2 linked regions of the Saccharomyces cerevisiae S288C genome follow. The protein of the gene in region 1 interacts with the protein of each later gene in a biochemical or structural test. Each region holds a gene or a part of one and is shown in the gene's direction. Other genes may lie near its edges. The genes, in order: ARO80 and SNF2.

Evidence for each region.
Region 2: the proteins of ARO80 (region 1) and SNF2 form a complex in vitro, tested with the Saccharomyces cerevisiae proteins (one study listed by BioGRID).

What each region holds. Positions count from the first base shown.
Region 1 is NC_001136.10:1,302,939-1,319,038, forward strand, and holds ARO80 (Aro80p), read left to right. Parts: upstream 1-9,101; coding exon 9,102-11,954; downstream 11,955-16,100. Other genes in the region: RAD30 (DNA-directed DNA polymerase eta), read left to right, coding at 236-2,134; HKR1 (Hkr1p), read left to right, coding at 3,329-8,737; SIP1 (Sip1p), read right to left, coding at 12,388-14,835; CAD1 (Cad1p), read right to left, coding at 15,108-16,100.
Region 2 is NC_001147.6:846,436-862,535, reverse strand, and holds SNF2 (SWI/SNF catalytic subunit SNF2), read left to right. Parts: upstream 1-2,277; coding exon 2,278-7,389; downstream 7,390-16,100. Other genes in the region: YPK9 (putative acid anhydride hydrolase), read right to left, coding at 1-1,361; YOR289W (uncharacterized protein), read right to left, coding at 8,424-9,179; protein disulfide isomerase MPD1, read left to right, coding at 9,459-10,415; rRNA-processing protein RRP36, read left to right, coding at 10,697-11,599; thiosulfate sulfurtransferase RDL2, read right to left, coding at 11,807-12,256; thiosulfate sulfurtransferase RDL1, read right to left, coding at 12,482-12,901; HUA2 (Hua2p), read right to left, coding at 13,327-14,058; YOR283W (phosphoglycerate mutase), read right to left, coding at 14,391-15,083; PLP2 (Plp2p), read left to right, coding at 15,407-16,100. UniProt on the Saccharomyces cerevisiae protein: Involved in transcriptional activation. Catalytic component of the SWI/SNF complex, an ATP-dependent chromatin-remodeling complex, which is required for the positive and negative regulation of gene expression of a large number of genes.

The sequences.
Region 1 (16,100 bases):
GATACCTATTGTATGTTCAAGAAGAAGAAAATAGGTTCAAATTAATAGTTCAATTTAAACTTCGAGTCCATTTTACAATATTAGTTTAATTTTGGGCAATTCTTATAATTTCGGATTAACTAAAGTACCTATATAATTATACCTTATCGCGGCGAAAAAAGTATAAACCACTTATTGTAGTCTTCTAGCGCAGGCCTGCTCATTTTTGAACGGCTTTGATAAAACAAGACAAAGCATGTCAAAATTTACTTGGAAGGAGTTGATTCAGCTTGGTTCCCCCAGTAAAGCATACGAGTCCTCCTTAGCATGTATCGCCCACATAGATATGAATGCCTTTTTTGCACAGGTTGAGCAGATGCGATGTGGCTTAAGCAAAGAAGATCCGGTAGTCTGCGTTCAGTGGAATTCCATTATTGCAGTCTCTTATGCAGCAAGAAAGTATGGTATATCAAGGATGGATACGATTCAGGAAGCACTAAAAAAATGTAGTAACCTCATACCGATCCATACAGCCGTTTTTAAAAAGGGAGAAGATTTTTGGCAATATCATGATGGATGTGGATCTTGGGTGCAGGATCCTGCAAAGCAGATAAGTGTGGAAGATCATAAAGTATCACTGGAACCATATAGGAGGGAAAGTCGCAAGGCGCTGAAGATTTTCAAAAGCGCATGTGATCTAGTCGAAAGGGCGAGTATTGATGAAGTATTTCTTGATTTGGGCCGGATTTGTTTCAATATGCTAATGTTTGATAATGAGTACGAGCTTACAGGCGACTTGAAACTGAAAGATGCATTAAGCAATATTCGTGAGGCTTTTATAGGGGGCAACTATGATATAAATTCCCATCTACCTCTTATACCCGAAAAGATAAAGTCTCTGAAGTTTGAAGGCGATGTTTTCAATCCAGAGGGCAGAGATCTGATCACAGATTGGGACGATGTAATACTTGCACTAGGATCTCAGGTATGCAAGGGTATCAGAGATAGCATAAAAGATATTCTCGGTTATACTACTTCGTGTGGTTTGTCTAGCACCAAAAATGTTTGCAAGTTGGCTTCTAATTACAAAAAACCTGATGCCCAAACAATTGTGAAAAATGATTGTTTATTAGATTTTTTAGATTGCGGAAAGTTTGAAATTACATCATTCTGGACCTTAGGCGGCGTTCTTGGCAAAGAACTAATTGACGTATTGGATCTTCCCCACGAAAACAGTATTAAACACATCAGAGAGACGTGGCCTGATAATGCTGGCCAGCTTAAGGAATTTTTAGATGCTAAAGTTAAGCAATCTGATTATGATCGCTCAACCAGCAATATCGACCCTTTGAAAACAGCAGATTTAGCAGAAAAGTTGTTTAAATTAAGTAGAGGCCGGTACGGTCTGCCCTTAAGTTCTCGCCCTGTTGTAAAAAGTATGATGTCAAACAAAAATCTTAGAGGAAAATCGTGCAATTCCATCGTGGACTGTATTTCTTGGCTTGAGGTCTTCTGCGCTGAGCTTACGTCCAGGATTCAGGATCTGGAACAGGAGTATAACAAGATCGTAATACCAAGAACAGTATCTATATCTTTAAAAACAAAATCCTACGAAGTATATCGAAAATCAGGTCCAGTTGCGTACAAGGGCATCAATTTCCAGAGTCACGAACTCCTAAAAGTAGGCATAAAATTTGTCACGGACCTTGATATTAAAGGAAAGAACAAAAGTTATTACCCTTTAACAAAACTAAGTATGACAATTACTAATTTCGATATTATAGATTTACAAAAAACTGTTGTAGATATGTTTGGCAATCAGGTCCATACTTTCAAAAGCTCAGCAGGCAAGGAAGATGAGGAAAAAACTACCAGCTCGAAAGCTGACGAGAAAACTCCGAAGTTGGAATGTTGTAAATACCAGGTGACTTTTACAGACCAGAAGGCTCTTCAAGAGCACGCAGACTATCATTTAGCATTGAAACTGTCGGAAGGCTTAAATGGTGCTGAAGAATCATCCAAAAACCTTTCTTTCGGGGAAAAAAGATTGTTGTTTTCACGGAAAAGACCAAACTCACAACATACTGCCACACCTCAGAAGAAACAAGTTACATCTTCCAAAAACATCTTATCATTTTTTACAAGAAAAAAATGACCTATTCCAAATAGACAATTATATGGCTTCAGCAACTAAAACGTCCTGATAATATTGCTTTTCCAAAATTTCTAAATGATTCACGGGCGCCAGGTTTTGTTGATAAGAAGAACGAAGTACCTTTAATATCTTATGATCGGAAAATACCGACTGATGACTTTTGAGACTTCGCTTTTGATCAAAGTGATAACATTATGTACAATATTCATACTAGGATTTCTTGATAGAGATTTGGAAGTCTATAAAAAAGAAACAACTTGTTATAATTTATTTTTGTAGACATGACTCACAGAATATTACATACCTTCATAATATATAAGATCCATGTGATAATGAATGCTGGAAGCATGATCTCTGACCTCAGCTGATTGTTCAGGGGACTTAATCAATTAGATGCGTTTAAAGCAGGAATTGGTTTGATACACACAATCTCATGTTACAAAGTAACGCTGTTTAAAAACAAATCTGAAGAATAATAATGCAAGTAATATTATACATCATAAAAAAGTTATACACTATCATTACTCTTCTGAAGACCAGATTACAATACAAATTAAGGCAACTTGGCCGAGTGGTTAAGGCGAAAGATTAGAAATCTTTTGGGCTTTGGCCCGCGCAGGTTCGAGTCCTGCAGTTGTCGTTATTTTTAATGTTTTTATTTGGTAGCAACAAAATTTGTCAGTCAATTTCTTTTGTTTTTTTCTTTAAAAGGTGTAACAACGTTATCACTCAAGTATTCGTTTCTTATTATCAAAAGTCTTAGACTTTCTATTAATAGCAGTTTGTTCTTTTCCACAACGCGCTAAAGATATTTCGCTTTCTGACCCGTTTGGTTGCAGAAAATTTTTTTAACTAATTTAGGAATATTTAGATTAGTTAATTGGAGGGCTTATTCAAAGACAGTAGTTACAGCGATTTAAAAGCAGTGTCCCTCGTAGGCACCTGTAGTCATTTCATTCGTTTGGATATTTCGCTGTACTGCTTCCTGCATTGTAATCAAGAGAAAGTTTACAACTTAGAGCACTAACTTTGTTTGTAAACATTTTCCGTTTATAATCAATTGCCATATCATCAATTTTATTATCATTCTTTAACCAGTAACTAACTGATTCCGCACCCACATTATTGAAATTTTTGCGATATCTTTTTCCTCAACTGACGCAGTCAACAGTCAGAAACAGAGAATGTATAAAGATGGTCTCATTGAAAATAAAAAAAATTTTACTCCTGGTGTCATTGTTAAATGCAATCGAGGCCTATAGTAACGATACAATATATTCAACTTCATACAATAATGGAATAGAAAGCACACCCTCATATTCAACATCCGCGATATCCAGTACCGGATCTAGCAACAAAGAGAATGCAATAACATCAAGCTCTGAAACCACCACAATGGCTGGCCAATATGGTGAAAGTGGAAGCACAACAATAATGGATGAACAAGAAACTGGTACGTCCAGCCAGTATATTAGTGTGACGACGACAACGCAAACTTCTGACACGATGTCATCAGTAAAAAAGTCTACGGAAATAGCGACACCAAGTAGTAGCATTGTACCCACCCCTTTGCAGTCCTATAGCGATGAATCACAAATATCACAAACGCTTAGTCACAATCCGAAGTCCGTGGCGGAGTCAGATAGCGATACAACCTCCTCGGAATCCTCAAGTAGCGTAATAATATCCACATCCGATAGTTCAGCGGTACCGAGGGAAATAAGTCCAATAATAACCACAGATTCTCAAATTTCCAAAGAAGAAGGCACATTGGCTCAAACTTCCAGTATCAGTGAAACAACGAGAATTGCACAAATGGTAACCAGAGTTTCACAAATCTCCAGCATAACGGCAGCTTCAACAATAGATGGCTTTAGTAGTGAATCAACACAAACAGATTTTTCCAACACTGTATCGTTTGAAAATTCAGTCGAAGAAGAATATGCCATGAGCAAATCCCAGCTCTCTGAAAGTTACAGTTCAAGTTCAACCGTCTATTCTGGAGGGGAGTCGACTGCAGACAAGACATCTAGCTCCCCCATTACCAGCTTTTCATCTTCTTATAGCCAAACAACGTCAACTGAAACCTCTGAGAGCAGCCGAGTGGCTGTTGGAGTATCCCGGCCCTCTAGCATAACGCAAACTACATCAATTGATAGTTTTAGTATGAGTGAAGTAGAGCTTTCCACATATTATGACTTAAGTGCTGGCAACTATCCTGACCAAGAACTGATTGTCGATCGCCCGGCCACTTCTTCCACTGCCGAAACATCTTCAGAGGCAAGTCAAGGTGTAAGCCGTGAATCTAACACTTTCGCAGTATCTTCGATTTCCACGACAAACTTTATAGTTAGCAGTGCTTCGGATACTGTTGTTTCAACTTCAAGCACCAATACAGTGCCATACAGCTCTGTCCATTCAACCTTTGTTCATGCGACTTCCTCGTCGACTTATATTTCTTCTTCCCTTTATTCTTCCCCATCCTTATCTGCATCCGTTTCCTCTCACTTTGGCGTTGCTCCTTTTCCATCTGCTTACATATCTTTCTCATCAGTACCCGTTGCAGTATCCTCGACGTACACGTCTTCACCATCGGCTTCTGTTGTAGTACCTTCTGCCTATGCGTCTTCACCATCAGTACCCGTTGCAGTATCCTCGACGTACACGTCTTCACCATCAGCACCTGCTGCAATATCCTCAACGTACACGTCTTCACCATCGGCACCTGTTGCAGTATCCTCGACGTACACGTCTTCACCATCGGCACCTGCTGCAATATCCTCAACGTACACGTCTTCACCATCGGCACCTGTTGCAGTATCCTCGACGTACACGTCTTCACCATCAGCACCTGCTGCAATATCCTCAACGTACACGTCTTCACCATCGGCACCTGTTGCAGTATCCTCGACGTACACGTCTTCACCATCAGCACCTGTTGCAATATCCTCAACGTACACGTCTTCACCATCGGTACCTGTTGCAGTATCCTCGACGTACACGTCTTCACCATCAGCACCTGCTGCAATATCCTCAACGTACACGTCTTCACCATCGGCACCCGTTGCAGTATCCTCGACGTACACGTCTTCACCATCAGCACCTGCTGCAATATCCTCAACGTACACGTCTTCACCATCAGTACCCGTTGCAGTATCCTCGACGTACACGTCTTCACCATCAGCACCTGCTGCAATATCCTCAACGTACACGTCTTCACCATCAGTACCCGTTGCAGTATCCTCGACGTACACGTCTTCACCATCAGCACCTGCTGCAATATCCTCAACGTACACGTCTTCACCATCGGCACCCGTTGCAGTATCCTCGACGTACACGTCTTCACCATCAGCACCTGCTGCAATATCCTCAACGTACACGTCTTCACCATCGGCACCCGTTGCAGTATCCTCGACGTACACGTCTTCACCATCAGCACCTGCTGCAATATCCTCAACGTACACGTCTTCACCATCGGCACCTGTTGCAGTATCCTCGACGTACACGTCTTCACCATCGGCTCTTGTTGTCCTGTCATCTACTTCCACATCCTCTCCATATGATATTGTTTACTCTCCATCAACTTTTGCTGCCATATCATCCGGTTACACGCCTTCACCTTCTGCTTCTGTCGCCATGTCATCTACTTCCTCATCCTCTCCATATGATATTGTTTACTCTCTATCATCTTCTGCTTCCAGATCGTCCATTGCTACATATGAATTTTCACCTTCCCCATCTACTTCTTTACCCACCTCTTCTACTTACACATACTTTTCATCTGCTTATGCGTTTGAATTTTCTTCTGAGCGGTACTCAACAACATCCACAATAGCACCAACTCAAATACATAGCACATTGTCCAGGATTACGGATTTCTTACTGCAGACTTCGATGGCAATCCAAAGTATAGTCTCTCAGCAAATTTCTACAAGCTCAACTTTAAATGACGAAATACATTCAAGCGCGCTTTCCGTTTTCAACCCTTCAGCTTCGAATTTGGTTGAAACTTCTCTGATAATTTCATCGACCCAAGCAAGCATAACAAGCCCCAAAAACTCAGCTAAAATTAGTTCACTACAGAGCCAGCTGTCTAGCAGTACAAAAAATCCATACGATACGGCGAACAAGAATACTGAGACCAGTGGCAGATCCACAGTTGTTTCGAATTTCCTATACACATCTTCCGCGGCGAAACCAGACAATGAAAAGTTTTCCGCTACTCCTACAGAGATAACTACAATTTCAAGTAGCTCGCACGCATATTCTTTATCTATTCCAAGTTCTCATAATTCTGTGACTGGACTATCACATAACTTTGTCGATTCGTCAAAAAGTGCAACCTCATTTGGCTACTCATCCTCATCAATATCTTCAATAAAACTTTCAAAAGAAACAATACCTGCAAGTAAATCTGTTTCAAACACACAAGAAAGAATCACAAGCTTTACATCAACATTACGAGCAAATAGTCAGTCTGAAAAATCCGAAGGGAGGAATTCTGTAGGTTCTTTACAAAGTTCACATATTTCATCTAACCCATCGCTCTCCACAAATACAAAGGTTGATTCGAAAAGTTTATCCAGGAAAGTATCGAAAACCATGGGCGAAAATGGCGAGGAAACCGGCTTAACCACAACAAAGACGCAATACAAAAGTTCTTCTGAAACCAGTGGGTCATATTCTCGGTCTTTTACAAAAATCTCAATTGGACCTGCTACGACTGCAGTTCAAACTCAGGCAAGCACTAATTCAGTATTCACAGCCCCTGCCTTGTCTACCTATCCTACTACTCCGTACCCCTCTCCAAATAGTTACGCATGGTTACCTACCGCTATTATAGTGGAATCATCCGAAACGGGCCCCACTACCGCATCATTCAATCCGTCAATCACTGGTTCACTTCCCAATGCAATTGAACCGGCCGTCGCTGTATCGGAACCCATTAACCACACTTTAATTACCATCGGATTCACGGCCGCTTTGAATTATGTATTTTTGGTTCAAAATCCATTATCTTCGGCTCAAATCTTCAACTTTTTACCTCTCGTTTTGAAGTATCCCTTTTCAAACACCTCATCAGAACTGGACAATAGTATTGGGGAATTATCCACTTTTATTCTTTCATACCGGTCTGGGAGCAGCACAACTACCCTTTCCCCAAAATCCATATCATCATTATCAGTTGTCAAGAAAAAAAAAAACCAGCAGAAAAAAAATGCCACGAAGTCAACCGAGGACTTACATCCTCCACAAGTCGACACATCCTCAATAGCGGTGAAAAAGATTGTTCCCATGGTAGACTCTTCTAAGGCATACATTGTATCAGTTGCAGAGGTATATTTTCCAACAGAAGCCGTAACATATCTTCAGCAATTAATCCTTGATGAAAATTCGACTCTTTATAGCAATCCTCAAACCCCACTGCGAAGTTTAGCTGGTCTAATAGATAGTGGGATCCCATTAGGGGGATTGACGTTATATGGCTCTGGAGATGGTGGTTATGTCCCTAGTTTAACCTCATCAAGCGTCTTGGATTCTTCAAAAGGAAATTCCCAAAACATAGATGGAACTTACAAGTATGGAGCTTTGGATGACTTTATCAATTCATTCACAGATTCTGCATCTGCAGGAAAGTATGCTGTAAAAATAATCATCTTTTTGATTGTTTTAACTATTGGCGTACTCTTGTGGTTATTCGTTGCATTTTTTGCTTTCCGTCATAGAAATATATTATTGAAAAGACACCCAAGGAACTGCATAGGGAAAAGCCTCAATAATGAGAGGGAACTTGAAAGTACCGAGCTTTCCCGCTCTTCTTCTGGAAACCAAGTTTATAATGAAAAGCCGCCAGAATCTGAAAATGAAAGTGTTTACTCTGCGGTAGATGATCATTATATTGTGACTGGCGAAAACACAGTCTATAATACTATTCACAGATTACATTATACCATTAATGATGACGGTGATCTATTGTACAGGGACGCAATCCCCCTCGATTTTGATCAAACCAATGGGGATGATGGTTCGGGAATAGACAGTATAGTAAGAGACTGCGTGTATGACAAAAACCAAGATGCTACGGAAGCCTTCTTGAATGATGAGGAGTCCATATCAGGCATTCTAGATGTTGATGAAAATGGTGATATTCGATTATACGACAGTTATTCTGACAATGAAGAGTCAAACAGTTTTCACTTGCCAGACGAAGTTATTGAAAACTATAACAAGAACCATTTGTGCGAAACTAAACTTCATGGACTAGGCACTGAATCATGTACTACAGATGATCCCGATACTGGAAATCAAATTACGAATGAGTTTTCTACAGGGAGTCAGACATGTTTGCCAAGTACCGCTTATACCACACCCCTTCATACAAATTCGATTAAACTTCACACATTACGCTACACAGAATCTTCACTACCAAAGCCAAATCAGACTCTTTTCTCTAATCTTGAAGATTTAGAAATAGAGGATATTGACGACAATGGTAGTGTTTCAGATGTACATATCGAGGAGCTGGATGCTTTAGACGAAGAACTTTATAAGAGAATGTCGAAAGTTATAAAACAACAGAACCATCAAACGACAAAAATATAGCGAAAAATGATTATTGACTGTGCAATAAACGCTGCTGGAAGGGGCGCTTGCAACAAAAGATGATCACAAAAATTGATACCCATTAATACACATAGGCTCACGCCATTACTATTATTATATATATCATCAAGTATTGCATTTGTAATTTTATGAGTCCTTCTTAGTAATACATGAAGGCTTTTTTTTAATATTTTCGGAATCAACGAGAGTACACTATTCTATCCGATGATAACCGAGATAAATGAAGATAGTAACTAACCAATGAAAAAAGAGCGAGAATAAATTAAAGCAATAATATCAAGTTAGTCGTGGGAATATATGATCCACGCATAATAAGGTTACATTAAGCACTGCTTTATCCTCTATGTCTGCTAAGAAAAGGCCTTCGGGAAACGCAGCATTTGAACTTCCAAAACGGAGAAGAACCTACCAAGCTTGCATCAGCTGCAGATCAAGGAAGGTGAAATGTGATCTTGGTCCGGTTGATAACCCACACGACCCACCGTGTGCACGTTGCAAAAGGGAGCTAAAAAAATGTATTTTTAGCTCTAATAAGGGAACTTCGAACGACTTGCCTCCTAATTCGATTAATGCAATAAGTCTGCCATCTCTAGGTAAGAGTAAGCAAGAGATACAAAATGACTCAACGAGCCCAATTTTATCGGATGTACCTTTGTCAAGAAAAGGGATTAGCAGTGAAAAATCATTTAAATCAGAAGGGATGAAGTGGAAGCTTGAACTTTCCTCCATGCAGAACGCCCTAGAGTTTCTGGCCCAAGCTGCTGGAACTGTAGCAAAAGAAGGCGCAAAAGAAATCATAAAAGAGAAGTCCACAACACCGAAACCACTGAAAAGTTCTTTGGATGCGACAAATAAATCTGCTACGGACGAGGGGTTGAAACGACTTTCAAAAAGTGACAGTACTAACACACTTTACGAAAATACAGCAGATATGCTTAACCACACGCTGAATACGAATAGGAAAACATCACAATTAATGGAAGAAATCGGGAAAGTGAGACCTCCACCTACCCGGAAAATTGACGACTTCGATTACATCGGTCCAGATAGCTTGCTTACTAAAGAGGAGGCGATTGAACTCATAGAGGCATTTTTTCTCACGATGCACCCATTCTTTCCCAATATCCCACTTCAATTGCATGATCCGAAAGAATTAGCAGAATATCCAATTTTGTTTTGTGCAATTTTGACTGTTTCTGCTCGCTATCATCCTTTCGATACTTTAGGATTAGACAATGGAGAAGATGGGATGAGACACATTGAAGTTCACGATAAATTATGGGTGTATTGCCAGAAGCTTATATCTCAAACAATTTGGGCAGAGGCTAGTACTAGGTCAATTGGCACCGTGCTTGCTTTCATAATTTTCACGGAATGGAACCCAAGGAGTATCCACTATAAATGGTCTGACTATGCAAATGATCCTGAGTTAAATAATGTCAACGCTAGAGGAAGTAAGAATATTAGTACGAGGAAGGACGAAGAAGGATTGACCGGTGTCGGCGCAATCCGTAGAAGCGACCGAATGTCATGGATGCTGACAGGGTCTGCAGTAAGGCTGGCGCAAGATATGGGATTCATTGAAAACAGCTCAAAAGTATTCATTGTCACTCATATATCTGAGACTACCAGTGCTATGAATATGAATCAAAGATCCTTATTAGCAGAATCATTCAGCGTTTTAAACTTGAATTTAGGAAAAATTGAAAACGATGGAAATGAAAGCAATGAGGATTACCTTGGGAATGAAAAATTTTATCTGAATGAGATTTTGCCTGATGAAGAAAGTAAACTAAGGTGGAAGAGAGTTTTTGAAAACTCAGAAAATGACCACGACAACGAGAAAAATTTTTTGACTGATTGGGAGAGGGAGTTTTTAAACGATGAGTATGTTCTATATTATTCTAATAAAAAAGATGATACTAATCTAGCACAGAATCACATACCACCATTTCCACTAAGATTCTCATTCGCCCAAAGAGCAAAAATAGAGATCATTCGAATCCTATCCATAGCATATGAGACGATTTACTGTGAGAAGAATAAGAGGAAATTGGCAACGACAGATCAGAGACACAACCTCTCTGTCCTAAGTGTTTTTTCTCCCTTGATAGAGGGCTGGCTCAGTAACTACAGAGAGCTTCTTGTACCCCTTTCTGATGTCCCTTTCTCACTAGCAGATAGGAAGAACAAAAAACAAATATTTGATAACATCGATAGAATAAATGGTGAAAGTATTATCACAGATTTCAATTATTGTCAACTTTATATCTTTTCCCTCGCACTGCAAGTGGATGGGAAAACAAGCAGATTGAATATGAATGAAATTGTGACAAGCGCGAGGTATGTGGAATTAGCATACAGATCTGCAAAAGAAATATTGAGTTCTGCAAAGCGAGTTTCAAGGCAAGGAATGCTAAAATACATGCCCGTAAGATGGGTAATACGAATAATTAGATCCATTGCGTTCATAGTAAAATGCTACCTAACACTTACTGGTAGTGAACTGGCAACAAATCCAGATGCCAGAAACATTTTAAAATTAAGTGCAATATCGGTTGACGAAACATTCGATATCATCCGTGACACTGCGGTTACTTTGAAAGAAGCTACACCAGATGAATTACATCTATGTCAAAGATACGCAGCCATATTAATGTACTTATGTACAGAGATGAAACTTCGAAAAAAATCTTACTTAGAACGACCACCCTTATTAAGAGATGGCACCACTCCTCTAGAGAGCAATCGCGAATCCTCACTGGAGGGACAAGACTTAACTAAGAAGCCAATATTCTCTAAACGTATTGGATATAATAAAACCGAGACTACTTTTGAACCCTCGGAAAGGCCTTTGACGGAGGAAATTAATAGCAATTCTCAGAATTCAAATGATACATCTTCTAAAGGTATCGTTGATCCTTTTGTTGAACAAAACAACGATATCACAACAGCGTTACTGAACAATGAACTCTTCCAAGGTCCATCTCTATCTGACGAGGTTACAGATTGGTTCGGTGCTAGTGAAGATATCGGGCTTGAATTTGTAGAACCATGGACAGAACTTATTGAGCAACGATATATGCAATGTGGAGATGGTGATAATAATAATTTCGAAAATTTATACAACTTGTTCGTGAATAGTAATAACATCAATAATGATATTAATAACTCAAGGCCAATAACGCGTAAATAAGTAGATATCAAAGAATTACGTCATCAACCAAGACAACCGCACTATTCGTAAAAATGATTTTAAATACAAAGACAGAATAACAGGGGAAGATGGAGGTATATAATAATGCGAATGCTTCATAATACTATGACTGGTTTTCCATTGGGCATATGAGATGATTTTACGGCTCAATCACTACTTATATATGATTTCTATAACAAAGCAGGCCATTACACATTAGGAACGGCTATCTATTACATAAGAATATGCAGCAAATTCGTTGGATATGTTAAAGTATATTCCACGCATGCTGAGAAGTGGATTGCCAGAAACGTGACGTGAAATACCTACTAGAACAAAAAAAAAAGGAATGCAAACGTTCTAGGAGCCATAGGAATCAAAAAGAAAAAAATTGAATTAATAGAGTTCGTGAGAATCATTGCGAATTGAGATTCTAATTACTGATCTGAGACTTTTGTGTTTTATAATAACAAGGTGCATAAACTACTTGAGTGATAAATTTCCCCTCATATCTAGTAGTGCAAGCTACGCTGATTATTTCATCTCTAATACTGCTTGTCAGTAAATGGTTCAAATTCACGTGGGGTATAATATGATTTATCGCACCTTCATCCCTCTCATGTGATTCTGAATTCTGATTGCTTTGGTTTAGTATTCTGTTCAGATAGGATGAATTCAGGTATATGGGCAAGTCAGGAACTGGGTATCTACTTAGAAAAACCGCCTCTGCTGTTTCTGCATCAATATTACCGCCTTGCTGTAAAGTAGCAAATAAATCATCTTGATTACAGTCAACAACTCTATGTGTAAAGCTGGGAGGTTCTTGGGGATGCACGTCATCAGAATCTCCTTTTACAGAAATCGTAGAGCCGTCACCTATATTAAATAAATTTGGTATTTCGTTCGAATACACCAACCTCTCAGGCTTGACCTCGGCCATCAAATCCAAACTGCTAGCCTTCAGACGTACAAATGAGTCACGCATATTTATTGAACTGGACCTACTTAAGCCTCTATAATCTGAAAACGGTGTACTTGGCCTTTCAACACCCTTAGCAGAATAGTAGGAAGATTTTCGAGAGGAAGAAGGAAATCTTTTAAGTTCCGGTCTCTTGGGCAATTCTTCATCCAGTGTTGGCTCTACTTGCGAGTCGATGTCTGCTTCGTTTCTAAATGGCTCGATCGTATGATAACCGGGCAATACTTCAAACCAGTTGACAAAATTGCCTTCTGAATCCGTAGCTGTAGGAAGAAAATTTGAGTGAGTCAATATACCATTGATGGAGAATTGCAGTCTATAAATTCCTGCAGGCAAAAAAAGATCTGGAACAAACCATTCCTTATGCACATCATCATAAACCATGCGGATCCTAGGATTTAACTGTTTTTCTGAGTCTAAACTTGCATTCTCATCCAAGGTAAGCTCTCTTTGCTCTTTAAGAGCAGAAGCAATATCCGTGCTTACTATAAAGACTTCCGTGGTTGCAGCCACGGTACCATCGTCTTTCCATTTTAGAACAACTAAAGTATTTTCGGTGGAGTTTGTTGATGATATTGAAGACATACTCGACATGGAATTAGAGTGATGCGATATTTCTCTATGCTGCGGTGCAGAGTATTGACTTTCATTGTCGTTAATAATTGGATGTAGTGGATGCAAAGGCTGCAAATTCAAACCGTTTGTTAAGATACTCTTTCTTGATTGTAAAGAATGCAAAGAAGCAAATGAGGATCTTCTCGAATTTGAAACCGACCTTATTTTTTTATTCTGGGCTTTCTTTGTCTTATTATGGTGCTTATTTAAATCTCTTTCCATCAAGGTCTTATCACCGTACAGTTTCATCATCATTTTTGCAGTAGCAGATATAGGTGCGGTAAAATCGTCGTTGGAGCCTCCCGCGTTTCCCTTGTTACGGGTGTTATTTTCAATATTTCCATTGTTATTAGCGTGGCTTATCCTTTCTGCAGTATACATTGAATTAGAGGAATTCACCCTTGAAAGACGTTGCATATCCTTTTTTAAAGCATTTTGTAAAAGAGACTGGTTCAAAACCATATCTTCACTTTGAAGTACGCCTGCTTCTGCATCTACACTATCACTGTTTCCCTCTTTATCCATTTGAGAGTTCTCAGAAAATGTTTCGTCGTTATTGAGATATTGATATTGGTATGCATGGATAGATGGTTTCTTTGAATAGGGTTGTCTTACAGGAATATCAATGGAATCCGTCTTGGTCAAGGCGGGAAGTGATGCTGAATGCACCGATGAAGACCTCGTTGGAGAAGGGGAAGCAGTAGCTGAACTTTCTAAAAGATTTTTTTTCAAAGCTATGATGCTTGAGCGATGCCTTTCATGGTGTGGTTTGTCGTTTCTTTCATTTTCTGTTGTTTCGTCAACCATGGTGTAATTCAAAGTAGACAGATCATCCAGATCACTTTTAGTTCGTTTGACAGTGGCCATTGATGGACCTGGGCTCAAAAACGACGGAGATTTCACCTGCTCTTCGGGTGCACCCACATCGTGATCATCACTTAAAGTCAAATTGGCCAACGTAGTGTCATTTACGTCTGCGGCAGAGGACAAAGAATAATCCTTTTTGAATAGATGGGACGGGCCCTTATCGATAGTAGTATCACTGCTCATGCGCCCATCACAATCTGTCGATGGATCGTGAGATGCAAGTAATTGCATTCTAGGGGGAATGGCACCATTATGTTCGCTAGTATGACTGGCGCGTCTCTTATGAGTACTCTTCCTATTGTTAAACAGTTGAGAGGTTATGCTTCCCTGACGATCTTTATTGAATGCATCATGAAAATGATGTCCATGCTCCTTTTTGGTTGAATGCGATGGATCCTGAGTAGAAGGACTGTTTCCCATGGCGGCTGCAACAACTATATAATATGACAGTTCAACTTTCCAAGATGTCAGTCCACACGCAAAAAAAGAAGTGCAAATGAAAGAAACACTAGGTAAGACACCTTGTTTATGTAGGTATCCACTTGTATCGGATATATCTACCATTGTTAATTGTCAATAGTATTCCATCAGAGACAATGGTAAAAAGACAAAAAAGGTATAATCATCGTACAAAGCGATCAATATTACATGCTCTCATCCAACATTATGTATACTCAAGATATGTTTATATGCTACAGGAGCTGTCTAACCAGAGCACTCTGTAAGTCGCGAGCTTTGACTACTATTTTGCAGTCATCTGTACATTTTGCCTTGATTATTAATTCGCTGCATAAATCATCTATGTCCAACGATGAATATTTTGGTAGGGAGGAGATCTCTTCGAGAATGTGGTAGCAAGACGCTTTTCCATTCGATATGGCGCTGCTAATGTGTTCAATTGCTTCAGATTGGGTTCGAATTGTTTTAGTATGAGAAGCAGCCACCGGAAGCACCGAAGCTAGAGATTTCTGATTCAACAGGTGGCTTGTTATTAAGTCGCATTTGATCTCCTTATTTGAACATGGTTTGGTCCCGATACACTTGCGGTTGCAAATATTATTACACTGGCTCCCTACAGCAAGGGGAAGCACGCTGGGGAATAAAGTATCATCTTCTGTCTCGTATGGAAGATACTTTTGGTCAATTTCACATTGACATGCTGACGTATCTATTTTTTCAGCGGTCAGGCGTTCAGAGTGCTGAGGAAAGTAGTTATGAATGTCGTAATCTAAAGCTTCTAGACCAGTCTGTCTATCATTGGAGACAAGATCGAGACTGAAATCTGGCATTTCACTACCATTAATACTTTCGTCACCGATGGTAACGGCACCTGTTCGATTTCCGGGGGGAGAATCCCACGAATTGGTTAAACTGGGAGCGTTCCATGAGCCTATGTTCCACATAACTTTCTCATTCTCTTGAGTGTGCGGCTGTACTTCTATACTTGTGTTCACAGTCATGTTTTCATCTGAATTAGGCGATGGCAATTCCTTTGCAGCCTTGCTAACTGCTGTACTTGTTCCTTTTTCGTTTTCCCTTTTCTGTTGTTCTTGCAGATCATCGAGGAAGGCTAATATTCTTTCATCATCAGAATTCTTAGCTCTATATTTTGTAATTTCCGACAGTAAACTTTTTAAAGAACATAGTAAAAAGTCCGTGGTAGTCTTATTCTGCGCATCTTTCTG
Region 2 (16,100 bases), on another chromosome or scaffold:
TCCACCCAGTCAGGATCTATCCAGTTATTGTTAGTTTTAAAGAGATCATCGAGCGGTGAATATATGAACTTAATATATCTGTATTCAAATGTGATCAAGATAGGCACATTTGGATTAATTTCATTGGCATGGTGGTGGCTCAAATTGATATCATTTGGTTCATATGACGGATTAGGGTAATTTTCAAAAGGTAAAACAGTACTTAATGGTCTATTATACCACTGTCGATCGATAGGTTGTATGACAAACTCACCAAACTCATTTTCTATCACGACCCATTCTGCTTTAGCCAATGGCACTTTCACGCCATATAATTTAACTTTGAGATGGGGAAGCCATCTCGTTAAAAGATAAACTAATCCGAAAGTCAAGAAGCAGCACAGGTTGTAAATAATATACCAGAATTTTGAGGTCTGGTAAGCAGCGATACCAATAACTAAATCCTCTTCCGCAATGTAAAACCTTTGGTAATGCAAGTTTGGTGCATACTGTGGATAAAACTTTTCATGATAGTCAGGTTTTAGATATTCGCTATGCTGATTATGAACATCATCATGACCAGAAAAGCTTCCTCTATTATTTTCGCTTGCAGATCGCCTACTATCTGAAGATTCTAAAGAATGTGTAGAAGACTCGTCTTCTAGTATTTCATCTGTTTGACTTTCTAGTTCAATAGGAATTCTTTCTCTGGTCGTATATCTCGATAAACTGGATGATGAATGTGTAGCGGAATGATAAACGAACCCAGTGTCAGAATTTTCTCCCAGCCTTTGTGGTGCCCTTGAACCAGAGCGACCCCTCTTACTGAAAGATCCATAAGACTTTGCATTTGAGAGAGATGATGCTCTGGAAAAACTTCGAATAGAAGAACGCCTGGAAGATAGGCCCGTACCATAGATTCTATCTTGTTCATAAGCGGGGGTGGCATCCCAGGCCATGTCATAATCTGTATTTTCTAACGTGGAAGCGCCTTCAGCATTGGATATTTGCTCCTGAGTGAAAAATCGAAAATGAGAAGGGTTTCTAGAAGAGCTTCGAGACTGTTCAGCCGAGGATAATACTAAAGGCTCTGATTCAGTCAATCGGCGGCCTCTCTGCTCTAGGTTCCCTGAAGAATGCGGACTTGGGAGGTTGCTTGATTGAAAAGAATGAGGGTGATGGAATGATACAATAGAACTTGGCACGGCTTCGAATGTTGCACCTGCGTACGGTTCCGAATTGTTCTGATCCAGTACCATCGCGGAAGTCAATGTGGCCGCCGTAGAAGTAGTGGCTGTAGAAGAAAAAGAAGCCCTCGGCATTCTTCGGTTCCTTTCACTCCTTTGGCCATGTTGAATTTGGTTTGAAGAGGGAATATCCATTACCGGAGTATATGCAAGATCTATCAGTAAGTCTGGGCTCCTTTTTATTTTAAAGAAGAATCTATTGACTCTGAACTATTTTCAATCAAAAATAAATTCACAAGTCCAACACCTCCAACTCTATGGTATTGCGTTCTCTTTTTGCCCTTTTTTCCTTTTTTTCTTTTTTTCACTACTCTTTCCTTGATTTCCATTTTTTTTCATTTTTCACTCTTCTATCACCTCTTCATACCCATACCCCCTGTTGGCCGCGGCTGCCCTAAATACACACATATATATATATAAAACAAACAAGGCATTTTTCAAATTAATAAAACTAATAAAAAAAGCTATAGAGCCTTTTCTTAGAACACAGTGTTGAAATATTCGCTTTTTTCTTTTTATTGAAACTCCTTCACTTCCAAAAAGACACGATTCTTAATGGCTATTCTGAGTGAACATAAGGACACTAAGAACTAACAAGTAATTGAAAAAAAAAGAAGAAGACATGATGAAGAAGAATTAGTGAGCAAAATACAGTTGAAGTTCCTAACGCTTATTTTCCTTGCAGATTAATTCCAATACATTCGCCACTATTGGAATTTTGCAGGTAGCCAATTTTCGCGTATATATACTAGGTTTAGGAAAAATAGCCGCCGGTAAAAATAGTGATAGGCTGTTACCCGAATACCGTTGTTCGCGATATGTTAAAACCGCGTTTGAAAGACAAATATCAACAAATTGATTGACGAAACGGGGCCATCCTGAGGCGGTAGGACAATAAGTTAAAAGAAAGGTTACCTCTAGTCTCAATAAAGAAGATATTTGTGACGTACGTGGACCTTTTGTATATAAATCATCGGGAAGGTCAGCTATTCTGTTGTTTCTCTAATCGCGACTTTCTGCTATTTTCACGACTTTCGATTAATTATCTGCCATGAACATACCACAGCGTCAATTTAGCAACGAAGAGGTCAACCGCTGCTATTTAAGATGGCAGCATTTGAGAAATGAACACGGAATGAACGCTCCGAGTGTGCCGGAATTTATCTATTTGACTAAAGTGTTGCAATTTGCTGCCAAGCAGCGACAAGAATTACAAATGCAACGCCAACAGCAAGGCATTTCAGGTTCTCAGCAAAATATTGTTCCAAATTCTTCAGATCAAGCAGAACTGCCGAATAATGCTTCCTCGCACATTTCTGCTTCTGCTTCCCCGCATTTAGCTCCGAATATGCAATTGAATGGAAATGAGACCTTTAGCACTTCTGCTCATCAATCACCAATCATGCAAACACAGATGCCATTAAATAGCAATGGTGGTAATAACATGCTACCACAACGGCAATCTTCGGTTGGTTCATTAAATGCAACTAATTTTTCACCAACACCAGCAAACAATGGAGAAAATGCTGCGGAGAAACCAGATAACTCAAACCATAATAACTTAAACCTTAATAATTCCGAGCTTCAACCGCAAAATCGATCATTACAAGAACACAACATACAGGATTCAAATGTGATGCCAGGTTCGCAGATAAATTCTCCTATGCCCCAGCAGGCGCAGATGCAGCAGGCACAATTCCAAGCACAACAGGCGCAACAAGCGCAACAGGCACAACAGGCACAACAAGCACAAGCGAGACTGCAACAGGGGAGAAGATTACCCATGACAATGTTTACTGCCGAGCAATCCGAACTGTTAAAGGCCCAAATCACATCTCTAAAATGTCTAGTAAATAGAAAGCCTATTCCGTTTGAATTTCAGGCTGTTATCCAAAAATCTATTAACCATCCTCCAGATTTCAAAAGAATGTTACTGTCTTTGAGTGAGTTTGCGAGAAGAAGACAACCCACAGATCAAAATAACCAATCAAATCTCAATGGCGGCAACAATACGCAGCAACCCGGCACCAATTCCCACTACAATAACACTAACACTGACAACGTTTCTGGGCTTACCAGAAATGCACCTTTAGATAGCAAAGACGAAAATTTTGCATCTGTTTCACCAGCTGGTCCATCTAGTGTACATAATGCGAAGAATGGCACCCTCGATAAAAATTCGCAAACTGTAAGTGGCACTCCAATCACGCAAACAGAATCGAAAAAAGAGGAAAACGAAACCATTTCAAACGTAGCTAAAACAGCTCCTAATAGTAATAAGACCCACACCGAGCAAAATAACCCGCCAAAACCGCAGAAACCCGTTCCTTTAAACGTCCTTCAAGATCAATATAAGGAAGGAATAAAAGTGGTAGATATAGATGATCCTGATATGATGGTTGATTCTTTTACGATGCCCAATATCTCACATAGTAATATCGATTATCAGACTTTATTGGCCAATTCGGATCATGCAAAGTTTACTATTGAACCTGGCGTTCTACCGGTTGGTATTGACACACATACCGCTACTGACATTTACCAAACTTTAATTGCATTGAACCTAGATACTACGGTAAATGACTGTTTGGATAAGCTACTAAATGACGAATGTACGGAATCAACCAGGGAAAATGCTCTTTACGATTACTACGCCTTACAATTATTACCGTTACAAAAAGCCGTAAGAGGTCATGTATTACAATTTGAATGGCATCAAAATTCTTTATTAACCAATACACATCCAAATTTTCTTTCGAAAATAAGAAACATCAACGTTCAAGATGCATTGCTAACAAACCAACTTTATAAGAATCATGAATTACTTAAGTTAGAAAGGAAGAAGACTGAGGCAGTGGCCAGATTAAAGTCGATGAATAAATCCGCCATCAATCAATATAATAGAAGACAAGATAAAAAGAATAAAAGGTTGAAGTTTGGCCATAGACTCATTGCTACGCATACTAATTTAGAAAGGGATGAGCAAAAGAGAGCTGAAAAAAAGGCAAAAGAACGTTTACAGGCTTTAAAGGCGAACGATGAGGAAGCCTATATAAAATTATTAGACCAAACCAAAGATACAAGAATTACACATCTTCTAAGGCAAACAAACGCATTTTTAGATTCTTTAACAAGAGCCGTGAAAGATCAACAAAAGTACACTAAAGAAATGATTGATTCCCACATAAAGGAAGCATCGGAGGAAGTGGATGATTTGTCCATGGTCCCCAAGATGAAGGATGAAGAATATGATGACGACGACGACAATTCTAACGTCGATTATTACAATGTCGCACATAGAATTAAAGAAGATATCAAGAAGCAGCCTTCAATATTGGTTGGTGGTACCTTAAAGGACTATCAAATCAAGGGTTTACAGTGGATGGTTTCGCTTTTCAATAATCATTTAAATGGTATTTTAGCAGACGAAATGGGTCTTGGTAAGACTATCCAGACGATATCCTTACTTACATATTTATATGAAATGAAGAATATTCGTGGGCCATATTTAGTCATTGTTCCTTTATCTACACTGTCAAATTGGAGCAGTGAATTCGCGAAATGGGCTCCTACCTTAAGAACTATATCATTTAAAGGTTCGCCAAATGAGAGGAAAGCCAAACAGGCTAAAATAAGGGCAGGTGAATTTGATGTAGTTCTGACTACCTTTGAGTATATTATTAAAGAAAGAGCACTTTTATCCAAGGTCAAGTGGGTCCATATGATTATTGATGAAGGCCATAGAATGAAAAATGCGCAATCCAAGCTTTCTTTAACCTTGAACACACATTACCATGCAGATTATAGATTAATTTTGACAGGTACACCACTTCAAAACAACTTGCCAGAATTATGGGCCTTATTGAATTTTGTGTTACCCAAGATTTTCAATTCCGTGAAATCTTTTGATGAATGGTTCAATACACCCTTTGCCAACACCGGTGGGCAAGATAAAATTGAGTTGAGTGAAGAAGAGACGCTTTTGGTTATCAGGAGATTGCATAAAGTCTTGAGACCCTTTTTATTGCGTCGTTTGAAAAAGGATGTAGAAAAAGAATTACCGGATAAAGTTGAGAAGGTAGTGAAGTGCAAAATGAGCGCTTTACAACAAATTATGTACCAACAAATGTTGAAATATCGTCGTCTTTTTATCGGTGATCAAAATAATAAGAAAATGGTAGGTTTAAGAGGTTTCAATAATCAAATCATGCAACTAAAGAAAATCTGTAATCATCCTTTTGTATTTGAAGAAGTTGAGGACCAAATCAATCCAACAAGAGAAACGAATGATGATATTTGGCGTGTTGCTGGTAAATTTGAACTATTAGATAGAATTTTGCCTAAGCTTAAGGCAACTGGGCATAGAGTATTAATTTTTTTTCAAATGACCCAAATTATGGATATTATGGAAGATTTTTTAAGGTACATTAATATCAAGTACCTGAGGTTAGATGGTCATACAAAATCTGATGAACGTAGTGAGTTGTTACGTCTATTTAACGCCCCTGATTCTGAATACTTGTGCTTTATCTTATCAACTAGAGCGGGTGGTTTGGGTTTAAATTTACAAACTGCAGACACTGTCATTATTTTTGATACTGACTGGAATCCTCATCAAGATTTGCAAGCTCAGGATAGAGCGCATAGAATAGGTCAGAAGAATGAAGTTAGAATTCTAAGATTGATTACTACGAATTCAGTTGAAGAAGTTATCCTAGAGAGAGCCTACAAGAAGCTAGATATCGATGGTAAAGTCATTCAAGCAGGTAAATTCGATAACAAATCTACATCGGAGGAACAAGAAGCGTTGCTTAGATCTTTGCTGGATGCAGAAGAGGAACGTAGAAAGAAAAGAGAGTCTGGTGTTGAAGAAGAAGAGGAGTTAAAAGACTCAGAAATCAACGAAATTCTTGCTCGAAATGACGAAGAAATGGCTGTTCTTACAAGGATGGATGAAGATAGATCAAAGAAGGAGGAAGAATTGGGAGTAAAGAGCCGTCTCTTAGAAAAGAGTGAATTACCTGATATTTACAGTAGAGATATTGGTGCCGAGCTCAAACGTGAAGAATCAGAATCTGCTGCTGTTTACAATGGAAGGGGTGCAAGAGAACGTAAGACGGCAACTTACAACGATAATATGTCTGAAGAACAGTGGTTAAGACAATTTGAAGTTAGCGATGATGAAAAAAATGACAAGCAGGCAAGAAAACAACGAACAAAGAAGGAAGATAAGAGCGAGGCGATTGATGGGAATGGAGAAATTAAAGGCGAAAACATTGACGCTGATAATGACGGTCCTAGAATTAATAATATATCGGCCGAAGATCGGGCAGATACGGATTTGGCAATGAATGACGATGATTTCTTGTCTAAAAAGAGAAAGGCAGGAAGGCCCCGTGGAAGACCTAAGAAAGTGAAACTTGAAGGATCTGAAAATTCTGAACCACCAGCGCTTGAATCAAGTCCAGTTACTGGCGATAACTCTCCCAGTGAGGATTTTATGGACATTCCAAAACCACGTACAGCGGGAAAAACATCTGTTAAATCAGCAAGAACTTCAACAAGGGGCCGTGGTCGCGGTCGTGGTCGTGGTCGAGGGCGAGGACGTGGACGAGGAAGGCCGCCAAAAGCAAGAAATGGGCTTGATTATGTCCGCACGCCCGCTGCGGCAACGAGTCCTATTGATATTAGAGAGAAAGTTGCTAAACAAGCTCTAGACTTATACCACTTTGCTCTCAATTATGAAAATGAAGCTGGAAGGAAACTTTCTGACATTTTCCTCTCCAAACCTTCCAAAGCACTATATCCCGACTACTATATGATTATTAAGTACCCTGTCGCCTTTGATAATATTAACACGCATATTGAAACGCTAGCTTACAACTCCCTTAAAGAGACCCTTCAAGACTTTCATCTGATATTTTCCAATGCTAGGATATACAATACTGAGGGTTCAGTAGTATACGAAGACTCTTTAGAACTGGAAAAAGTGGTTACGAAGAAATACTGTGAGATAATGGGCGATAACTCACAACTCGACTTTACTGAATTTGATGAACAGTATGGCACCAGACCCCTCGTCTTGCCTCCTGTTGTTACTTCAAGCGTGGCTGAATCTTTCACAGATGAAGCGGACTCGAGCATGACAGAAGCGAGTGTATAGTACCTTCCTAAAGCAATATAAGTACTTATTCGTTTATACGTAGACAAACATTAATCCCTCTTTTTTTTATTGTACCCATTAACCGAGTTGGGATGTTTAATATCTCTAGTATAACGTGCCGTATATTTCCTATATATATATATATATATATTTATATATATTAGATTTTAAGTTAATTGTTCAACTAATTGATCGATTTCGCCTCTTATAATTCTGCTATACATATTTATTTTAAACCATCTCTTTGAACAAAGTAATATGTCGTCATCATAGTGAACTTGTTCTTGGACCTAATTATAAATTTTCCAATACGGAACAAATTATTTGTTCCAACACCCTGCTAGCAACACAGGGCAATATATATAAAGAAGATATATCTACTACTTCTTTTCCTTGAGTATATGTCTTTAATAGATATTTCATGTATTTGATTCATCTTTAATGGAAATACTCGGAGATTATATACAGGTCCGAGATGGCCTTAAAGATATTTCCCACAAATGTATTTACCACTCATTAGAAATGAGTTTCTGTTGTATTACGGGCTCGAGTAATACCGGAGTGTCTTGACAATCCTAATATAACAGTCTTAGGGAAGTAACCAGTTGTCAAAACAGTTTATCAGATTAATTCACGGAATGTTACTTATCTTATATATTATATAAAATATGAATCATACTAAGTGGTGGAAGCGCGGAATCTCGGATCTAAACTAATTGTTCAGGCATTTATACTTTTGGGTAGTTCAGCTAAGGAAGGACGGGTTTTGTCTCATGTTGTTCGCTTTGTTATAAGGTTGTTTCATATGTGTTTTATGAACGTTCAGGATGACGTATTGTCATACTGACATATCTCATTTTGAGATACAACAGTTTCAACAGTCATCAGGGCACATGGCGCAGTTGGTAGCGCGCTTCCCTTGCAAGGAAGAGGTCATCGGTTCGATTCCGGTTGCGTCCAATTTTTAAGCTTGATCAATGTATAAAAGCATATTTTTTTTAATGTTTCTAAGACTAACTAACGAGGGTTATTTTCTAAGCCTCTATATCTTTTAACTGTTTGTTAAATTCCTCATAAGTTATGGAACTTTTTTTGCCCTCGTACCTTATTACTTCAATGAAATAAGTTTCAAAATTATCCATTACTTCACTAATATTGCCCCAGTAACCCGCCTTCTCGATTAAATTGGCAAAGGTATCTTCTTTATTCCAATGTTGCTCAGGCATAACATCAGGTAAAAAGGTTGCGCTACATGTGGTGCCTGTTTTGGGATGCTTAAAATACAGTTCAATACCGTGCTTTCCGAGTTCCCAATCGAAAATGTCCCCATTTGGATTACCACCACCTCGAAAAATAGTTTTGAAGTTGCCTAAGATGTTGCAACTGCATTTCAGGTCCACCAATTCCCTTTTCTGGATCGGAGAAAATCTCCTATCCTCTAAAGCAGCAATCAAGGAATATTTCTCAATACCATGTGCAATCGGCATCTTAGCAAATGTACCGATACATCCTCTAAGTATATAATTCTCTTCGTTAGTGTCTATTGTGTGATGTTTATTGGACTTTTTCTTCCAAGTTATGAACAACGAAGTTTTCTCATTGTAATCTATTTTAAAGTCGGGGTATAGCCTTCTTCTAATATCTTCTAAAGAAAGGCTGCTCGATTTCCCCGGATTCAAGTGCGAATAAAGTTGATAAAATGCGTAAAACGCAAATGGCGATGAACCTTTAGGGCCTTCCATTGATATCTTTGCAAAAAAACTGGATTTTCGAAATAGCCTTAAAGCCATTACTATCGCACAAGCCAAAAACCATCTTTTCAAAGGATCTTATCTGGATACAAATTGACGCAAATTTCTCTTTATATTCCTCCTTTGTCGCCCAGTGTCATGTGCTTATCCCTTGAAAAAAGGGCCGTTGTTCGAGCCTTGCGAGGCGTATAAAAATTTGGTAAAAATTAAAATTGACACGTAAAAGTTAAATAACATGAAGAGAAATATCTTTTCGCAGTCATTTTCAACAGTAAGCATCCACTTAACACAATTAGGAGAGACAAAATTTGACATATAATGTTATTTCTTAATATTATTAAGCTCCTTTTGGGACTTTTTATTATGAATGAAGTAAAGGCGCAAAACTTTTACGATTCCGATCCTCATATATCAGAGTTAACGCCAAAAAGCTTCGATAAAGCGATCCATAACACAAATTACACATCATTAGTGGAATTTTATGCTCCGTGGTGCGGCCATTGTAAGAAGCTCTCTAGTACGTTCCGCAAGGCAGCAAAAAGATTGGATGGTGTAGTCCAAGTTGCTGCTGTAAACTGTGACCTTAACAAGAATAAGGCTTTGTGTGCTAAATACGACGTAAACGGATTTCCCACGTTAATGGTATTTAGGCCCCCAAAAATTGACCTATCTAAGCCAATAGATAACGCCAAAAAAAGTTTCAGCGCTCATGCCAATGAAGTGTACTCAGGTGCAAGAACTCTCGCGCCTATTGTTGATTTTTCTCTTTCAAGAATAAGGTCATATGTCAAAAAGTTTGTCCGTATAGATACACTTGGCTCTTTACTTAGAAAGTCACCCAAACTTTCCGTGGTGTTGTTTTCCAAACAAGACAAAATTTCACCGGTTTATAAAAGCATTGCCCTTGATTGGTTAGGAAAGTTCGATTTTTATTCAATTTCAAACAAAAAACTCAAGCAACTAACCGATATGAACCCAACATATGAAAAAACTCCTGAGATTTTCAAATATTTGCAGAAGGTCATTCCTGAACAGCGACAGAGCGATAAAAGTAAGCTTGTCGTTTTTGATGCAGACAAAGATAAATTTTGGGAGTATGAAGGGAACTCAATCAACAAAAATGACATTTCCAAATTTCTGCGGGACACTTTTAGTATTACCCCCAATGAGGGTCCTTTTAGTAGACGTTCTGAATATATTGCTTACTTAAAAACTGGCAAGAAGCCAATTAAAAAGAACCATTCCTCCTCAGGAAACAAGCACGACGAATTGTAGTGGTACGTTTCCTCATTCAATGATTATCTAATTAAACACAACATATGTATCTATATAGTCCACTAACTGATGGCATGGACGTTTACTTTTATTTGCAATAATAACTTTTATCTGAGCGGTTAAATACCGAAAGACACGTTTATTACCCGCTTTGAAAATTTTCAACCGATGAGCTTGCCTTTCTACCGGAAAACTGGGGCATAAGAATAAGTACTAAATAGTATAATTAAATTGCCATCCAAAAATTGTATAGAGGGTCAATAAGCACTAGAAGGTTAAAAATGTCGTATTACTTTAAAAATCTGAAGCCAGACTTGAACTCCGACGTAGAAGAAGATGACGGAAACTTATTGGAGAGCATAATGGCGAACAAAAGTAAGCGAGAAATTGACGAACAAGAATCAAGTGACGATGAGTTGAAAACCTTGTCTTTTGGTTCTTTGAAGAAGGCTGAAACGGTAATAGATGAAGAAGATTTCAAAGATACGAAACCCGTTCACAAAAAACCGATCACAACTACATACAGAGAAGAAAGTTTTGATGAAGATGAGGACAGTGAGGACCAATCAGACGAGGATGCTGGATTCTTTGAAGAAGATAGTGAGGATGAAACTCATCATGGTCAGAAAGTACCAAAAAAGAAGAGCAAACACGCTCCAGTAGAACAATCATCCAAGAAAAGGGTACCACGAGTCCGAAATATCCCTGGGCTGGAAATACCGAGGAATAAAAGGTCTAACCTCTATCAGGACATCAGATTTGATAAGTCCACCGGTAAAGCCCTTGATAGTTCTATCATAAGAAAACGTTACCAGTTCTTGGACGAATATAGAGAAAAAGAAATTGATGAACTGCAGAAGCTGTTACAAGAAAGAAAATTTCTATCAAAAATAGACCAGGGAGAACGTGAAGAAATGGAACAAAGACTGAAAAGTATGAAATCGAGATTGCAATCAATGAAAAACAAAGATCTCGAGCGTGAAATTCTCAAGGAATACGAAAATGATATGAATAAAAACAATAATACGAGATACCATTTGAAAAAGTCTGAGAAACGTAAAGTGGTGCAAAAGTGGAAATTTGATCACATGAAGGCCAAGCAACGTGAAAAGGTCATGGAAAGGAAAAGGAAGAAGAGATTGGGTAAAGAGTTTAAACAATTTGAATTTCATAATCGTAGGTAGAGTATTTAAGCAAAAGAATGCACATTAAAGTAATATATAGAGAAAGATAAAAAAATAAACGCACACATAAACTAATGGAAGTAAGAGGTTATCCGCGAACCACAAGGAGAAAATCGAATGAATCGGAGAGGTGACAACAAAAAATTTGAAATACACAAAAGGTTGTCTATATACAGGATATATCGATTATACTTGTTTCTTTTTGGCTTATTTTTTGGGCTTAACGTCAGCACCACCTTTAGCTAACCACTCAGTAATAGAACCAGGATAGATACCAGTGTTTTCGTACCCATAAGATCGAGCCAACTCTTCGGCAGTTTTGGCTCTTACTCCTTTCGCACAAAGAAAAATCAATTCTTTATCGTGAGGTGGTTTAGCAAATTGGAAAACTTTGTGAAACTCCTTTTCGGGCAATCCAAGAGCGCCAGGGGCACTATTCACCGGAATATTTATTGTAGTTGGCATCTTGTAATCCTTTACTTCCTTGGGTTCCCTTACATCTACCAATAGTTTTTTATCATTGGGGTGTTCGACTAGGTTCCTGACCTGGTCAAAAGTATAGATCTTTGGAGCCTTCGTTGTAAATGTTCTCAGGACCAATGTAGGCGATCTTGCAGAAACTGTCCTCGAGAGAATACCTGTACTATGCTTGAACATCGTTGGTCTTTTTCTTCTGTCTCGCTTCCATTTGTTGAGAGTTATCGCTATCTTATTCCATTCAGATTAAGTTTTGTATTTTTTTTTTTATACTTCCTAATTTCTTTGCGCCGCCGCTATCACAGCCAATGCAATAGGCAAATATTATGAACGGTGTGACATAAATGGCATAATACGTTACTAGCTTACGAAAATACACAGGGTACATACCTAGAGTATACAAGGCTATAAGTCAAGTTTATCACCCCCATGAGAAACCCAATCATTCATAGAGCCAGGATATAGTGAGGTGTTTGAATATCCATGTGAGGAGGCGACTTTTTGAGCTTCTCCCCCGCGTTTGCCAGAAGCACAATAAAATATTAGCTCCTTGGCACTGTCAGGTTTTGGGATGCCAATCTGTTTCTCAAATTCTAAAGGATCTAAGGCAAATGCGTCAGGGTGCGATCTATATGGCACATTGATGGAAGCAGGAATATGAACAATCGAGTACTCAGATGGTTCTCTAACATCTACCAAAACCACATTAGGATCATGCTTTCCAACGATTCTTTTCATGTCTTCAAAACTGTAAGATTGAATATTTGAAACATTCTTACTTTGACTCTCGGTTCCATTCCAAGCATTCATCACGGCCTTCCACATTTTAATATCGTTTCTTAGTCACAAACCCTGAAAATAAACGAGAAAGAATTCTTTGATTGATTAAGCCTCCACTCTCTTTTATACACCTCAAAAATTCTCCCCTTACTTCCTTCCCCGCGGGTAATAATATTCTCCAAAAAAAATACAAAAGCAATCAGATGTAACTTATATAGGTTCCAAGATAAATAACAAATTATTTGTCATTGCAAGTAGGAAAAGGACATACCGTAGGTGATATCTGGATTTGGGCCTTATGGAAGCCAATCTTAGTAGTAATTCGTCCATATGTCTACCAAAGGGGATAACAAAAAAGTACAACTACAAATTTTTCACACAGTGTCCCGTTAATTTCATATACTCAATATGCTGCGTTTAATCAAGAAAAATTCTGATATTTTGCGACAGAAGGTGTCCCTGGAAAGCGCTTAGTATGCTGTATGATCTTTGAAGTACAATGCACAGGGAAATAAATCACCATATCTGACGATCATCTTGCTAGTTTCTAAGTTCGGAACATCTTGTCTATGCGCCAATAAAACTAGTTTTACATCGTACAGAAACACTGTCCACTTAGAACTGGACACTTGTTTGCCCAGTATAGTTCTGATACTATTATTATGTATAATTCCCTCAATATTAAGCACTTTATGCAAACGTGTTGGCCCATTGAGGCATTGATATACGGCAAGTAATAGCACCTTTTGCTTCTTACCTTTATCAATTTGGAAATAATGTTCGAATTCTATTTTATTTTGCAGAATCCTTAGTATATTTTCTTCGTCGAACTTTTGTACACTATTTAGCTGAAACTTCATAAGCTTTCCGCTCAAATTAACCTTTGCATTTGTTGATGTCTGGCTATTCATTGGGGATGGGACCGGCTGGTGAGTGGACCTCTTACATTGTAATGATTTGTTCCTTTTCTGTAAAAGTTGTAGAAACGCGTCGTAGTACTTCTGCAAGTCGGCAAGAATGGGTTCAATCTGCTGAACGTCCAAACTAAAATCCTCCAAAAGATGTCGCATTTGATTTTCAATCATTGACAATCTCTTTTTATAGCCCAATGTAATACGATCGGCTTCGACAATTTCATCTTCTGAGTACTCAACTACCGAATCGTGGTCCAAATACATCTTGCCAAATTTTGTTTGTTGCATAGTTTCACTGATATACAATTCACCTGAATTTACCACCGACAGAACATATCCATTTCTCTGCTATGGAGTATCAATGTAGTCTTGTTACATATTACGACACAGTTTTCTTTCCTTTAAAATAAACGCGTCGTTCTCATCTCATGTGAAAAACTATATCAATAATATAAAAACATAAAACCCCTATAATTTATGAACATCTACTGCATTTAGATAAACCCTTACGAACTATATGTTTTAAAATAAAATACACGCATGCGAAATTTCTATTACTACCTAAACCGCATTTCTAATACAAAATGAGAAAAACCCAACAGTGAATAACCATATAGTGTCTAACGTAATCTTAAGTCACTGACGACAAATTCGCCATCACCAAGATGTTGGGTGTTTCCGACACGTCTCACAATAAACTGCTTGGAGTCCTTGACGTAATCAACTATAGTGACAGAGGTGTTGAAAACAATGATCTTATGAGCTTGATGATTTTCATACTTTAACCATTGTAAAATCATTCTGATAGCACCTCCATGACTAACTAGGGCTAGATTCTTGACACCTTCATTAGATGCTTCAGCAACTTCTTCTTCGACACATCCAGTTAACCTAGCAACAAAATCGTCACTTTTTTCCCCAAAATTTCTAAAGGAGCCTTCACCATGTTTATCAGCATACTTTTCAGCCTCAGTAATCTGCATACCTTCAATAACACCCATATAACGCTCCCTTAACCCCGAAGTATAGGAAGTAGGCACATTTTCTTGTTTTGAATGTTTCAAAACTAAAGCCGTAGTTTGCCTACACCTTTTTAAATCACTACTGACAACCTTATCAAAATGAATACCTCTTGAACGCAAGTAATGCCCCAATTTAGTGGCTTGTTCTTCTCCCGTAGGATTGATCGAGGTATCTTTGTGACCTTGCAAAATTTTTTTTACATTGTGTTCTGTTTGTCCATGCCTAATAATGAATAATCTGATGATGTTGTTATCGTCATTATCGCAATAATATGGTACTTCCTTAGTCATTCTTGGGTATAAATATATTTTTGGGTGCTTGTATAGCTTCGAGCTTCGTTGCCGCTTTGATCTTACAGTATGAGACTAATTCGAACCAGAATGAATAAAGCAATACTTTATGTTCTACAATTCAAAAAAGAATTAAGTAATATTGTGACGACCTGATTTTCCCATTGTATTAATATCGCTGGAAAAAAAATTACTGAAAAAAGAGGAAATCCCGCTAGAGGAAAAAAAGAAAAGGTTATATGATCGACCTGAAGAAATCTGCAGTACAAGATAACGCCTTCGAGTAAACATCACTGAGAAGAAAGGCATATTCAGCAGACATAATGCAGAATGAACCAATGTTTCAGGTCCAGGTGGACGAATCTGAAGACAGTGAATGGAACGATATTTTAAGAGCGAAGGGTGTAATACCAGAACGTGCACCTTCGCCCACTGCAAAGTTAGAAGAAGCATTAGAAGAAGCAATTGCCAAGCAGCATGAAAATAGACTAGAAGATAAAGACTTGTCGGATTTGGAAGAACTAGAAGACGATGAAGATGAAGATTTCTTGGAAGCTTACAAGATCAAAAGATTAAATGAAATCCGCAAATTACAGGAACGTTCCAAATTTGGAGAAGTTTTCCACATTAACAAACCTGAATACAACAAAGAGGTTACTTTGGCCAGTCAGGGAAAGAAATATGAAGGTGCACAAACCAATGACAATGGTGAAGAGGATGACGGTGGTGTCTACGTATTCGTTCATCTCTCGCTTCAAAGTAAACTACAAAGCAGAATTCTGTCTCATCTTTTCCAATCTGCTGCATGCAAATTCAGAGAAATAAAATTTGTAGAAATACCTGCCAATAGAGCAATTGAAAACTATCCCGAATCCAATTGCCCGACATTAATTGTATATTACCGGGGTGAGGTAATCAAAAACATGATAACGCTACTAGAACTGGGTGGTAATAATTCCAAGATGGAAGACTTTGAAGATTTTATGGTAAAAGTTGGCGCTGTTGCAGAAGGAGACA